2 linked regions of the Drosophila melanogaster genome follow. The protein of the gene in region 1 interacts with the protein of each later gene in a biochemical or structural test. Each region holds a gene or a part of one and is shown in the gene's direction. Other genes may lie near its edges.

Evidence for each region. The genes of interacting proteins can lie anywhere in the genome.
Region 2: of the proteins of stet (region 1) and grk, one has a biochemical effect on the other in vitro, tested with the Drosophila melanogaster proteins (one study listed by BioGRID).

The regions. Positions count from the first base shown.
Region 1 is NT_037436.4:1,485,616-1,492,753, reverse strand, and holds the start of stet (stem cell tumor), read left to right. Parts: upstream 1-3,206; 5' UTR 3,207-3,302; intron 3,303-3,708; exon of another isoform or gene 3,709-3,848; intron 3,849-3,922; exon of another isoform or gene 3,923-4,015; intron 4,016-4,246; 5' UTR 4,247-4,337; coding exon 4,338-4,508; intron 4,509-4,563; coding exon 4,564-4,656; intron 4,657-4,724; coding exon 4,725-4,748; intron 4,749-4,818; coding exon 4,819-4,995; intron 4,996-7,138. Other genes in the region: CG12084 (uncharacterized protein), read left to right, coding at 1-108, 291-770, 836-1,000.
Region 2 is NT_033779.5:8,429,375-8,435,307, reverse strand, and holds grk (gurken), read left to right. Parts: upstream 1-1,709; 5' UTR 1,710-1,893; intron 1,894-2,035; 5' UTR 2,036-2,225; coding exon 2,226-2,295; intron 2,296-2,813; coding exon 2,814-3,431; intron 3,432-3,566; coding exon 3,567-3,766; 3' UTR 3,767-4,222; downstream 4,223-5,933. Other genes in the region: D12, read left to right, coding at 1-1,099; Akap200 (A kinase anchor protein 200), read right to left, coding at 4,941-5,027, 5,846-5,933. UniProt on the Drosophila melanogaster protein: Critical for defining the anterior-posterior and dorsal-ventral axes of the egg. May signal directly to dorsal follicle cells through the receptor torpedo (top).

The DNA.
Region 1 (7,138 bases):
ATGGAGGTGGCTTGGTCCACCATGTGGAACGTAACCGATGAGACTGCTATTAATTGTAAGAGATTCCTCGATGGACGTGGCATGGAGTATTTCCTTAAGTGTTTACATGTAAGTTCTCCAAAAACTTGCCATTATCCGCAGCGCAACAAAGATAAGATTGGGAACTAAAATATTTAATTTAAGAGCTGCATAGAGAAAGCGAACAAATGTATACTCCTTGGTTTCATGAAGAAATAGGTTAACTTCCTGTATCCAGACTTCTTAAGCTGAACTGTCCTTTTCCAAAACAGACCTTCCCGGATCGTGACGAGCTGTTGCGCAACATGATGGGCCTGCTGGGCAATGTGGCCGAGGTGAAGTGGCTGCGGCCCAAGCTGATGACCCAGGAGTTCATTGAGGTGTTTGCCCGTCTGCTGGACTCCCTGAGCGATGGCATCGAGGTGGGTGGTGCTAGTGCGAGTGTGGTGGCGAGAGTGCGGGAGAGAGAGATGGCCAGTGCTAACCATGCCTACCTGCGCTTCCAGGTCAGCTACAATGCGGCTGGAGTGCTGGCGCACATTGCCTCGGACGGAGCGGATGCCTGGACGATCAAGACGCCCAGCCGGGAGCACGTGCTGGAGCGCATGGTGGCCGCCATTCAGCGGTGGAACATCAAGAGCGAGCGGAACATCAACTACCGCAGCTTTGAGCCGATCCTCAGCCTGGTGCGCTGCTACGAGACGCCCCAGTGCCAACATTGGGCTGTTTGGGCCCTGGCCAATCTGACACAGGTGGGGGAGCAATTCCTTTTCCCATTGTTGGTGCATTGTGTACTAACTTCTGCATTCCGTCACAGGTTTATCCCGAAAAATATTGCAAGCTGGTGGAGCAGGAGAACGGCATCCAGATCCTCAACGAGCTAATCGAGCACGAGAGTCCCTACTGCGAGATCAAGCGCATCGCTCGCCTGGTCATAGAGCAGTGCGACTCCGGATCGGAACGCATGGTCGTCGACGGCTAAGCGGATATTTAGGATAACACGTAGCTTTAGGAGTCGAGTTTGTTGTAATGTTTTTTTTCTGCTTCCTCTGTTTCCCGTTTTAAAGCAAGTGCATGTGTTATGTGGTTCAAGAGATTCTTCCTTGACTTTTATGTTTACAGCGAGAGCAGCAGATACATAGATGCAAGTTTAAACTATGCGAGAGTTAAGCAACTAAATCTAATGATGCAGAAATATTCGATAATTACATAATTACTAGATTATATATGTATATGATGTATCACATGTTGTAAGCCAGCGATCTTTTTAGGCCTTCAGAAGTGTAAATATTGTTAAAACCGGAAAGAGGAAGACATTGGAGTAGCAAGCAAGGCTGCTGGAGATTAAATAAATCCTTAAGAATTGAATTCCCCGTGGATCGATAGTTCTTTCTCTAGCCACATAGACGAGTGTATGGAATCTGTTCTTTGAATTGTGGTCATCATACGATGCTCACTTAACCCCCCCACATTTGCTGTGCTTTCGCATCACGAACCCAAGTAGCTGCAAGTTCAGGATCGGATCGTTCAAAATAATCTAGCTATATAATCTAGACCACTAGGCTAGGCTTAAGCAACTGTAAATATATTGCAAGTAACAGTTTTGAAAGTTCTGCGCTTGGCATTAATATTTATAACAGTGTACGTTACCATTAGTTACCTTACATTACGTATATACATATATATAATTTGATTCGTAAGCGACATCACGCCTGTGTCTTACCAAAGACCCTAGAATAACAAGATGCGTAACGGCCATACATTGGTTTGGCACTATGCAGCCACTTTTTTGGTGACGGCCAAAATTACTCTCTTTCCGCTCACTCCCGCTGAGAGCGTAAGAAATCTAAAAATATAATTTGCTTGCTTGTGTGAGTAAAAACAAGAGACGAGAACGCGTATAAGTGTGCGTGTTGTGCTAGAAGACGATTTTCGGGCCAAAATCAATTCTGATCGAAGAAACGAATTTACATGGTACATATTAGGGTAGTTTTTGCCAATTTCCTAGCAATATGATAAAATAAAAAAATTTTTAAAAATTCGCGCCCTGACTATTATAATTTTAAAGCTTTTTTAAATTTGTTTGTTAAAATCGCCGCTTGAATTAGCTACCGTTTACACATTTATATTTATGTTTAATTCTAATTTGTCTCTCATCTGACAATTTTTTAAAAGCGAAATATTTTTTTGAAACACTTTTAATGTTAATGTTACATCATATTAAGTCAAATGATTTAATAAATATACTAAATAATTAAATATGCAATTAAATTAAATTGCAAAAGTAATATCAAAGACAATAGAATTATTCTAGTGTCTTTGCTTTGTTCCACGGCCAAAAAATCGTGTGCCAAAAAATCGTATGGCGTTACGCATCTTGTTATTCTAGGGTCTTTGGTCTTACACTTTCCTTACCATCCAAAATCACACGATTCTTACAGTGGAACTTTTCTTAAGTTTATTATTTCTGCTTTTGATCGATTAAAGTAATTTTTAAAAATATTTTGGTACAGCTCTTACTCAAATAAAGCTCAGGAACTTCCATTTAACTTATCTATTTGAAATCATTATTTTTTTTTAGACATCATTAAAGAATGAATGCATCACACATTTAAGAAATCTGTTTTTATCATATTTAAAACGGATTTTTTGAGTTTAGGGCTAGAAAGTTTTCCAAATTAAAAGTTTGCTCTACAAAATACATTCATTAATTCGACTTCATTCATAAAACATCATTTCACAATCGCAACTTTGTAGCACAGTGTGGAGTGGAGTGTGCCAACCAGAGCTTTGTCTTCATCATATGTATGTGATATGAGTAAGTTTCAATAAAGCTGCATCTCCCGTGCAGTTTCATTCATCAAGTTTTCAGCAGTGAATCACTAACTAGTATGAAAACTAGTGATGATTTTAACATTGGCATTCCACGGTGCAAGTCGCGGGGTGTGGGGTGCGTAGCCGCTGTTATTATCGAAGTGCAGGGTATGTAAACATTAGGGGGTGTGAGTGGCCAGCTCTGGAATTGCGTCATGCGCCCCCTCGCAGAGCGGGTGGGTGGGCGCAGGGGAGGAAGGAAATGCCAACGGGTTGGAAATGCTTTCCAAGCTGAGCGCATGTGCCGTGGGAATCCGAATCCCCTGCATCCCCCAGAGAGACACTCTCTCTTCTCAATTTTGGCAGCTCTCCTTGGTCAGTTGTCATTTTGCCGGCGGAAAGTTCGCGTGTTTGTTTTTGCCTGGATGTAAATGTGCAATAGTTTTGCGTTCGCGGGTGCAAGCAAAACGGTAAATAAAAGTGAAATAAATGAAATAAAGAAAGCCAAAGGCCAAGCAGAGAAGCGCAAGCAAGAAAGTCCTGTGAACCAAATAGAAAGCAAAACACACGGGGGGTAGCAATCAAGCCAATTCTCCTTCAATGGAAGGAGAAGAATGCGCATTCCATTCATTCGCTAACAAAACCATTCAATCAATGCCAATTGCCTAGTTTAATTCAACAAAATGAAAACAAAATTGTTCCGGCAATTGACGAGGCGTAAACAAAATGCAAAACAATTGTTTGCCAGCCGGATTCTGCGCAGTGTGCCTTATATTTCCAGCAGGATCAATAACCTTCTTATCAGCGGAAAATAAGGGAAAACGACAACAAACCGTTGACTTGGCAATCAAAACAAAGGGCAAAAGCAAAAAGGAAATTTGTTTGCCGGCCATGAAATAGACTATGGTATTGAAAACCAGCAGCCTATGATTATCCGGAAGTATCTCTCTGGGCCCGCGGAAAGTGCAACAATTCTAGTAACGTCAAATTGCAACAAACTGATTTCACAGGCCCCCCCAACCCCAACAAACAGAAAATCTTAATTTCTTTTCTTAAGAAAACGAAATGAATGAATTATTTTTTTTATTCATCTCGACACAACCTCGGCGGCACTCGAACCGCCACTCGAAAAACGTGAGCACGCGTGAATCGACATCTCAGCGCACTCGACCAAATCGGTGGTGGAATTTATGTCGTTCAAACTGAACTGCCTCCAAAAGAGCTTTTGAGTTAAAGAGATTGAAAAGCTCTGCACAGTGGATCCACTTGGCGAATTTCGAAAACAAACATTTTAAAAATATATAACAGCTATTTACTTTTTTTGTTTCAAATTATTATTTAAATTTCTACAATATTGGGGAATAAAAGGACAGACAAGTTCGGAGCATAATACTTGATAATTACTTTTCCGCAGCTGAACTCTAATCGCTACAAACACTGCCAAACCACAACACAACGATCCGCCCTGATCCCAAAACCAAATCTGGATAGCCAGGAACAGCAGGATGTGGCCCGGCTCCGAGCGAGGAAGCTCGCGGGCCCTGGAAATCCCAACCAGCCAGCAAAATGCCGGCGGTAGTAGTCAGCAGGAGACTCTGGCCGACATCGAGCACATATCCACCATTGCCGGCTCCCTTGCCTCCATTGGATCCCTCTCGCACACCCAAATGCGCTATGTAAGGAGCCGGAGTTGCTTGTAAAGATCGTATCTCTAACTCTAATTACCCGCAGCAATGCACCAATGATGCCGGCTATGATACGGAACACACGTCCCTGAACTCGGACTTCGATGAGGCCGAGCTGCGACGGGAGCTACTAAGAGATGTGAGTTCCAATACGAAAATCCTGAACATTACTTATTATAATTCCTTCTTTCTTCACTTTACTTACAGAAATGGAAACTGCTCTTTGACATGGTGAGTAAGCCAACCCAAAAAGGAATACTTATAATTATACTTATTTATAATTACTTTTCACGCTTTGCAGTTCGATCCCGAGGGTTTTGGCGAAATATCAGTCGAGGAATTCCTGGAGGCCCTCAAGTCGCCGGAGTTCCTGTCCCAAGTGCCTATGAACAAGCGGGAGCTGCTGCTGGAGCGGGCAAAGAAGGCGAAGCTGCCCACAGGACCCGGCTACGTGACGTTCCAGGACTTTGTGAATGTGGTGAGTGTGCCGTGTGCCGCAATTACAATCGCCGGTGGTCACTGGCCAAGTAACCAAAGTAACCAAAGTACCCAAAGCACCCATGCCATGCGTATATTTGTCCCGGGCTGCTCATCAACGGCAAACTCGATTTAAGTGCAAACACAGGTGCAAAGTACTCACCCAGGACGAGGTCCAAAGTGTAGGCTCGTGTTCAAACAGACGGAGGACAAGGCCTCGTCCTGGCAGGAGCCGCACTCTTGTTTGGCAAATGCAAAAAGTGCGCTTGGCAAATAAATGCGCCGCTTACGCTTACACTGCGAATAAAAGGGGGTTACTTACTTTTATGCTAGTACCTATGGACACCTTGTTCCGGAAGCAGCAATGTATTTGAATGAAATACACTGCGCATTAAGTTATTTGAAGGATATACCAAGGACATCGATTGTAGAAAAAGTTAGACCATAGTTTTTCTGTATGTAAGCCCACGTCTCGTTTGCTTCCTTCGCCACGCTTGGCCAGGCATTTGAGTGTTTGTCCTGGTTACCTGGGCACTGGCTATTTGTCCTGATGTGGTCCGAAAATACTACCTTGGACTTGAGCTGTGCAACTGGAGGGGAGTGGGCGGCAGAGGTGACTTCTGCGAGCGAATGAAGCGCTTTTCTCGGCTTTTCCTTTGATTGGCAGGGCAATCCTATTGCATTTTGATTGATTCTACCCAGTTGATTGGCACGCACACAAACCGCACACGACAAAACACTCATGCATAATCAATTGCACAGTGAATATTCCTTCGCCTTGGCCGTTCGATTGTTTGCCAAAGTGTCCTTAAAGTCATGAATTAGCCAGGCCGACGTGTCCTCATTTGCCCCTGTGTGTGTGTGTGTAAGTGTGTGAGTGAGTTTGGGCAAAGACACTAGAATAACAAGATGCGTAACGGCCATACATTGGTTTGGCACTATGCAGCCACTTTTTTGGTGACGGCCAAAATTGCTCTCTTTCCGCTCGCTCACGCTGAGAACATAAGAAATCTAAAAATAGAATTTGCTTGCTTGTGTGAGTTAAAAACAAGAGACGAGAACGCGTATATGTGTGCGTGTTGTGCTAGAAGACGATTTTCGGGCCGAAATCAATTCTGATCAAAGAAATGAATTTACATTGTACATATTAGGGTAGTTTTTTGCCAATTTCGTAGCAATATGATGAAATAAAATAATTTTTAAAAATTCGCGCTCTTCTTATTATAATTTTAAAGCTGTTTAAATTTGTTTGTTAAAATCGCCGCTCGAATTATCTACCGTTTACACATTTATATTTATGTTTAATTCTAATTTGTCTCTCATCTGACAATTTTTTAAAAGCGAAATAATTTTTTTGAAACACTTTTAATGTTAATGTTACATCATATTAGGTCAAATGATTTAATAAATATACTAAATAATTAAATATGATAACTGTTTATTGCAAAAGTAATATCAAAGACACTAGAATTATTCTAGTGTCTTTGCTTTGTTCATATCTTGAGGCACGAAATGCGGACACAAGCACTCAACAATCATTGCCTTATTAATTTTTCACACGCCGCAAGATGAATACTCTAATGACAAATATTCTTATATAAAGTCATGTTTGAAATTGATTTTTGTGATAATATGTACATAGATTTGGCTTTTTCTAATCTATTTTCAAATAATAATAACGTTAAGGCAATGCAAAACAAGAATTTTTCGCATGGTGCCAATTGATAAAAAATAATATAGATTTAAAGTCTAAGAACTTCTACGGTGAAGGGCATATTTTGTCAAATTTACAATGCATGAGCATACGTGTGCACACATAAAGTTGTCTGCTATCACTGTATGCGTAGAAAAGAGCGGTTCGCTGTAGCGCTCTTCGCTCTCTCGCTCTCTAACAAAAATTCGAGAGAGCCTGGAGCCACCTCTAGAGCCACGGCCAAAAAATTGTGTGCCAAAAAATCGTATGGCGTTACGCATCTTGTTATTCTAGTGTCTTTGGTTTGGGTGTGTGCCTAACGGTAATTGCGGATGAGACCCGGGCCATTCTTTGCACAATGGATTTCCATTCCACATTCCCCCGGCGAGGACATTATTAGGTCCTTGTTTGGCCTGCTAATGCATTTGTTATTCCAATTGAGGGCTCCGTT
Region 2 (5,933 bases), on another chromosome or scaffold:
ATGGCATATGCTGCAGTGCATGCAGCACGATCATGGGTACGCCAACATGAGCGGCGAGATGGAGGAAAAGCCAATGCTGTTACCTCCAATTGTGGACACTACCATACAATCGCGACCCCGAAGGCTGGAGCACATCTTTAGAAGTGCACAATTCCGAAATATGCGCAGTGCTGTGGAGTTCCTGCTGAGCCGCCTCCCGCTTGCGTCGATTGATCAGCAAAAGGAGTATCCATTCACTTGTATAACCCTCGAAGAGTTCCACAATCACACTGCTCTAAAACAACGTTGCTTTGAGTACCTGCGCGCACGTATGCTCCGTCGCTGTCTGATGCAGCACCACGAGCTGCATAAGTTGGACATTAGTGGAAAGGAACACTACTGGAGTTTACGGGAGATAGTGGCGTTCGCCAGGGTTCATGGTTATACGCCAGCTCTCAAAGATGTTTTACCTGTCGTGCATGAAAAGAGAAAACAAAAACTGAGCGATGAGGAGCAACTGGCTCGGCGTGTTCAGGCGCAACTAAAGGGCGAGCCCCAACCGCAACTGTCGGCCTATAGCAGTCTCAGCTCAGGCAATCGGCTGGAAGCTTGGATAACCAAGCAATCCGATCGTCTGCTTGGTCATGATCAACAGATGCGGGATAAGGAGTTCATCGATGTGTTGGGTGTGGACAAACCTCATCCGCTTGCGTCCAGGTTAACAAACTCAGCAGATGTATCTTTCCAAATGGTGAATCATCGCCAACTACTTTATCTACCTCCGCCGAAGCACTTGGATTCGACCTTGCAGCTGGTCCAGGAAATGTGCAAGGACATTAATATCACACTGGAACCGGAGGAATCTCCGCCTGGCGTCTCCCAGCCACTGGCTCTCTCGATGCTCGGACAAGTGCTGCGCACTTTTATTGAGAAATTGGTGCGCCGCTCCTTGGCGGCGAAACTGCAACAGGAGACTTTGGAACAGTTGCCACCGGCGGCGGCCAATGCTCCGTTGTGTCTCCAACCTCAGGACATAGGCCGTGTCATCAGTCTGTGTTCCGAATTGGATTTCCTCGGAAACAGTCACTTGGGAGTTGCTCCGATAGAACCACAAATCTAATGTGCAGTTGCCATTGTTTTGAATTTATTTTTTATCAAGTCCGCGTCATAGTTCAAATTCTACTGGGATATTAGTTGATATCTAATTAGAGCCTTGTACTCGTTGGTAAGCATAAATCTAAGCAATAAATTAACTAAATTAATGTCCGAAGAAATGAATACTGCGTTTTTAATTATCAACGATTATCATATTTTGGACGAAATCATGAGATGAGTGGTCATTAATTTTTAAATTTTGAATATCTGGCTGAAGACTTTTAAATTGTTTTATCAATATAAATAATAATCGCTACAATTGCATATTTGTACGAAACATGTAAACATTTTTAAGTCTTATCAGCTATCTTCACAGAGTAATATATCTTTATAGTGCCCTAGAAGTATGCAGTGAAAAGTGCCGTTAACAAATTGAATAACTGTTAAAGGGCGGTTTTTTTTTGCAGCTCTTAGCATATCCATATGATTCTTCGACTATTATCGGTCGCAATCGCATCTCTTTTGGGGGCGCTCTCTTCGCTCTCCCCGCTCACCGATCGATTTCATTCATGGCGCATGCCAATGCCGCCAATGTAGGGATGAGGTCCATCTGTTTCTCTGGCTCTGTTTTCCTCAGTCTCTTTTCCGACGTGCGCGCAACAAGACCTAAAATCAAAGTGGAGCAGAGAAGAGCCCGCTTCCCGCGCTTGCTGCTCTTTAGATTAACTAATTAATTACTTGCCTGATATATAAAATGATTCACGAGTCATTATAATAATTATAATGTCGAAGCCTTCTACAGGCCATATAGCAGCTCCAGTACGTCTAAGATAATCTATGAAAAGCTTTTGGATCACCAATTTTGAATGCTATTTCTTTTCCTTTTTTTTTTGTTTCGTGTGTGTGCGTTCGTGCGACAGAAAATGTGGAGGCGCTAAAATGTTCTATTTTTATTTTGCAGTAAAATCCACAAGGAGATGCAAGTGTGTAGTATGTTTCAGCTTCTGTTGCGACGCCAAATTGCATTTGCGGCCAGCACGCCGCTCGATCCCTCGATCGTTTAGACCCCTTCATTGACTCAGTTTTCCTAGTGGTGGACAATCGGTCCACCCAATCAATATTTTTCGGAGCGCCACCCCAAGCGTTTTCCAATGATGCAAATCCCATTTACTCGGATTTTCAAAGTAATTTTCGTGCTCTCAACAATTGTCGCCGTCACAGGTACGTACATAATCTCCACCTGATTTTTAGATTCCAATATTACGGCCAGTATTGCCAGGCTCTCCCACAAAAAAAGCTATTTCTAGCGTCGAAAAAACTGGAAAACAGCTACAACAAATCATAAAATATTTGCAGTGCTGATTATATACTTGTTATGCTAAAAAACTAAAACTTCCTTGAAAACTGTGTAAAATCCTGTATTAGCTTTCTGTTCGTGGATGATGAATGAAGTAAACTTCAGATAATATACATATTTGTGAATTATTTCTAAAGATTTTTTTGAGTTTCATTTAAATACTGTCCTTATGAACAAACTTTGCATTCTTAAAAATTAAAAAAATTAGTAATAATAATACCATAGGGAGACATTTTTATGATAATTTCAAAAGTTGCCGCACTAAAAACTGAAAGCTTTTTGTACTTCAACTTGAGCTTTACAACGTTATCTATTCTGTATCTTTGCGATCACTGGAAATGTCCTGTTTTCTTAATCGCACACCTTCTTCTGTATTCTGCAGATTGTTGTTCGAGCCGAATCTTACTTCTCCGAGAGCATACGCTGAAAATTGTGCAGCATCAGCACAGCCACATGCACGAGCATGCGCACGAGCTGCAGCAGCAGATCCAGGAGACCGCGGTTGAGTTGCTCAATCGCCTGGAGCTGCAGCGCAAGCAACTGGAGGCCTCGGCCCAGGAGGAGGCAGACCAGCTGCATCCCGATACGGATCCCAATCCGGACTCGGGCGGCCAACTGCCAAACGCAGACGACTCCATTGCTGCGGATCCGGAACAGGATGGGATAATTCTCGGATCCAGTACCGACACCTGGTTGGCCAGCGAAAGCAGCACACCAATCACTGATTCCGAGACAGTGACAACACCCGAAACTGTTACCCACACCGGAGAACCGCCACCTGACCCCAGTTCGTCCAGCACGCCTGACTCCACGACTCCCAGCCCGAACGACAAGGAGACAGAGATTCAGATGCTGCCCTGCAGCGAAGCTTACAATACTAGCTTTTGCCTGAACGGCGGCCACTGCTTCCAGCATCCGATGGTGAACAACACAGTCTTCCATTCCTGCCTCTGCGTTAACGACTACGATGGAGAGCGGTGCGCCTACAAGAGCTGGAATGGTAGGTACTCTACTCTAGCATAGCCATCCATTCACAGAAGTCTCTTCCTGTGTTGTATGGAACGGATGGAACTAACGATATCTATTAGTCTGTACCCAGTACATGGTAACTAAATGAACTCATTGATCATTGCAGGTGACTACATCTATTCGCCTCCAACAGCGCAGCGGAAGGTCCGAATGGCGCACATCGTCTTCTCCTTTCCCGTACTCCTCATGCTGTCGTCGCTCTACGTTCTCTTCGCAGCCGTTTTCATGCTCCGCAATGTGCCGGATTATCGCCGGAAGCAGCAGCAACTACACCTGCATAAGCAGCGCTTTTTTGTCAGATGCTGAGATTTAGAATTTGATTTGGAAACAATTTGGTTTCACCTATATAAGCCTCCTCTTTGTTGGATGGCAAATTCTTGTTGACCATATTTCTTTACGTTGCGCAGCGTAAAATTAACGCTTTAATTTATTGAATACATTTAGTGTACTTAGTAGGATTTTCTATTTAGTTGCAAAAGACGCACAAGTTAGTATTTGCTTTTCTTTATCATTTCTTAGTTTCGTTTGTTTCGCTTTTGAAGCTTTCGTTGGAGCTTTTGTAGTTTGTTTGTAGTAACATTTTGTTACGTTAAATTAACCATTACGAAATATAATGTAATCTTAGCGCTTACTCCAGTTACCAGGACAAGTGATTATTTTCGTAACACTCTGTTACATTGTGTATATTGTAAAGAAAAACTATTTTGGTAGTGTATTAAAGAAGAGGATTGGGACTCGACTCGAAACAGAATTAAAACATTCAAAACATTGTTTCCTTTCTGCGGTTCATCGTATCTCGTATCTCGTTTCTATCTCTCTCGTTTTTTTTTTTCAGCCGGCGGATATGAGTGAAGCACGCTTTTGGGTTTTATATTTTATAATATATATTTTATCCAATATTTCGTCCAAAAATTCTTTACAAATTTCTTCGAACTTACAGTTAAATGTATAGTAGAAATTATTCAAAAAATTCTCCTCACTTTCATCATTTCATCGTATATGATTTGTTGATTCTTTCGCTATCAAGATCATCAATATGAGAATGGTATGTATGCGCTTGTGTGGTGGATGGTGTGTGCTTGATGGGTGATGGATGTGTTTTTGGGGACTTAACCCGATCTGGAATTGAGAGGCATCAATAAAAAAAACTATTGATTCCTGCGCGTGGGTGGTGTTTGAGTGGGGCGTGGTGATTGGTTGCAGTGGTTGCATTGGTGGCGTGGATGGTGGTGTCGCGTGTAACTCGGACTTTTGCTTGCGTATATCTTGGATTAGGGATATGAAGTTCGTACAAAAATTATTTAAAATATGTAAATGTTTAAAAATGTATTTTTGCTTGTTTTTTGTTTTGTTTTGTTTTTATCTCGTTTATCTTGTAATTGTTTGTTGTTTTACGTTGCGTTCTTTTGTTGTTGCTTGTATCGTTTGTTGTTTTGTTTTTAATAATATGTAATATTATATATAATAATTATGAGTAGGATTATTCGCATGTAACGGGCAGTTGTTCCTGTGTTGTAACGTCTGCCGCGGCGGCATTCTTCTCCTTCAGATCCTTGGCGAGATCCACCTGTGAACAAACGCAATGGAAATTATTAGTTGTTTATCTGGTCAAGGCTTTTGCTTTGTGTGTTGCATAAAAAAAAAATTATTAAAAACTGAAAGCACAACAACAACAATTAAGGGGAAAGAAAGTTCGCGACAATGACAAAGGCGCAAAAACAAAACGAAATAGTATACAAAATAATGTATTTAATAATAAGCGATTTACGAACTGTGTGTGCGAGTGTGTGTGTATGTGTGTAGTGTTTTTAACATTAAGGTACAGTTGTGTATTTATGGTCTTTGGTTTTAGTGAGAGCCAAGAGTTACGACAGCCAAACAGATATTGAGTTAGGACAGAGCGGGGTATAAATGGGTTGGGTTTTGAATAATTTTCTGTTTTCTAAATTTGTATTTTGGTGTGCATGTGTGGAGGATTAGGATGAATGCGTTTTAGGTTGTGTTTATGGACTTGGTATCTTGCGGTTAATACAATGCAGTCGCTATCCTCGGTTTAGTATTACGTACTTCATTCGCTTTATATCACCAAAAAATATCATGCAATCCCCGAGCAATTCAATCAACATCAATCAATGTACCAAACACTAACGAACTACGTATTAACAACTACGGCAACAAGCGCGCTACCAGCAGCAGAATATCTGATGCCATTTGAATGGGAAACACACACAGAGTGGAGAAAGCAGAAGAAGCACGCCCAGGACATAGCTCCATGCCCACCAAATGGAGCGCCAGATGCAAGAATGGTTATATGGTGTGTTGAAGTCGATGTGTTTTGAAGACTTGAGGTTGCAGTTTTAAGAACCACTGCCACTTGCTATTCACCTTGTTGTTGCTCTCGCCCTCCTGTTCCGCGGATCTCGCATCCAATTCTACCAGCAGATCGCCGCCTGCTTTGGTAATCGGAGCATCC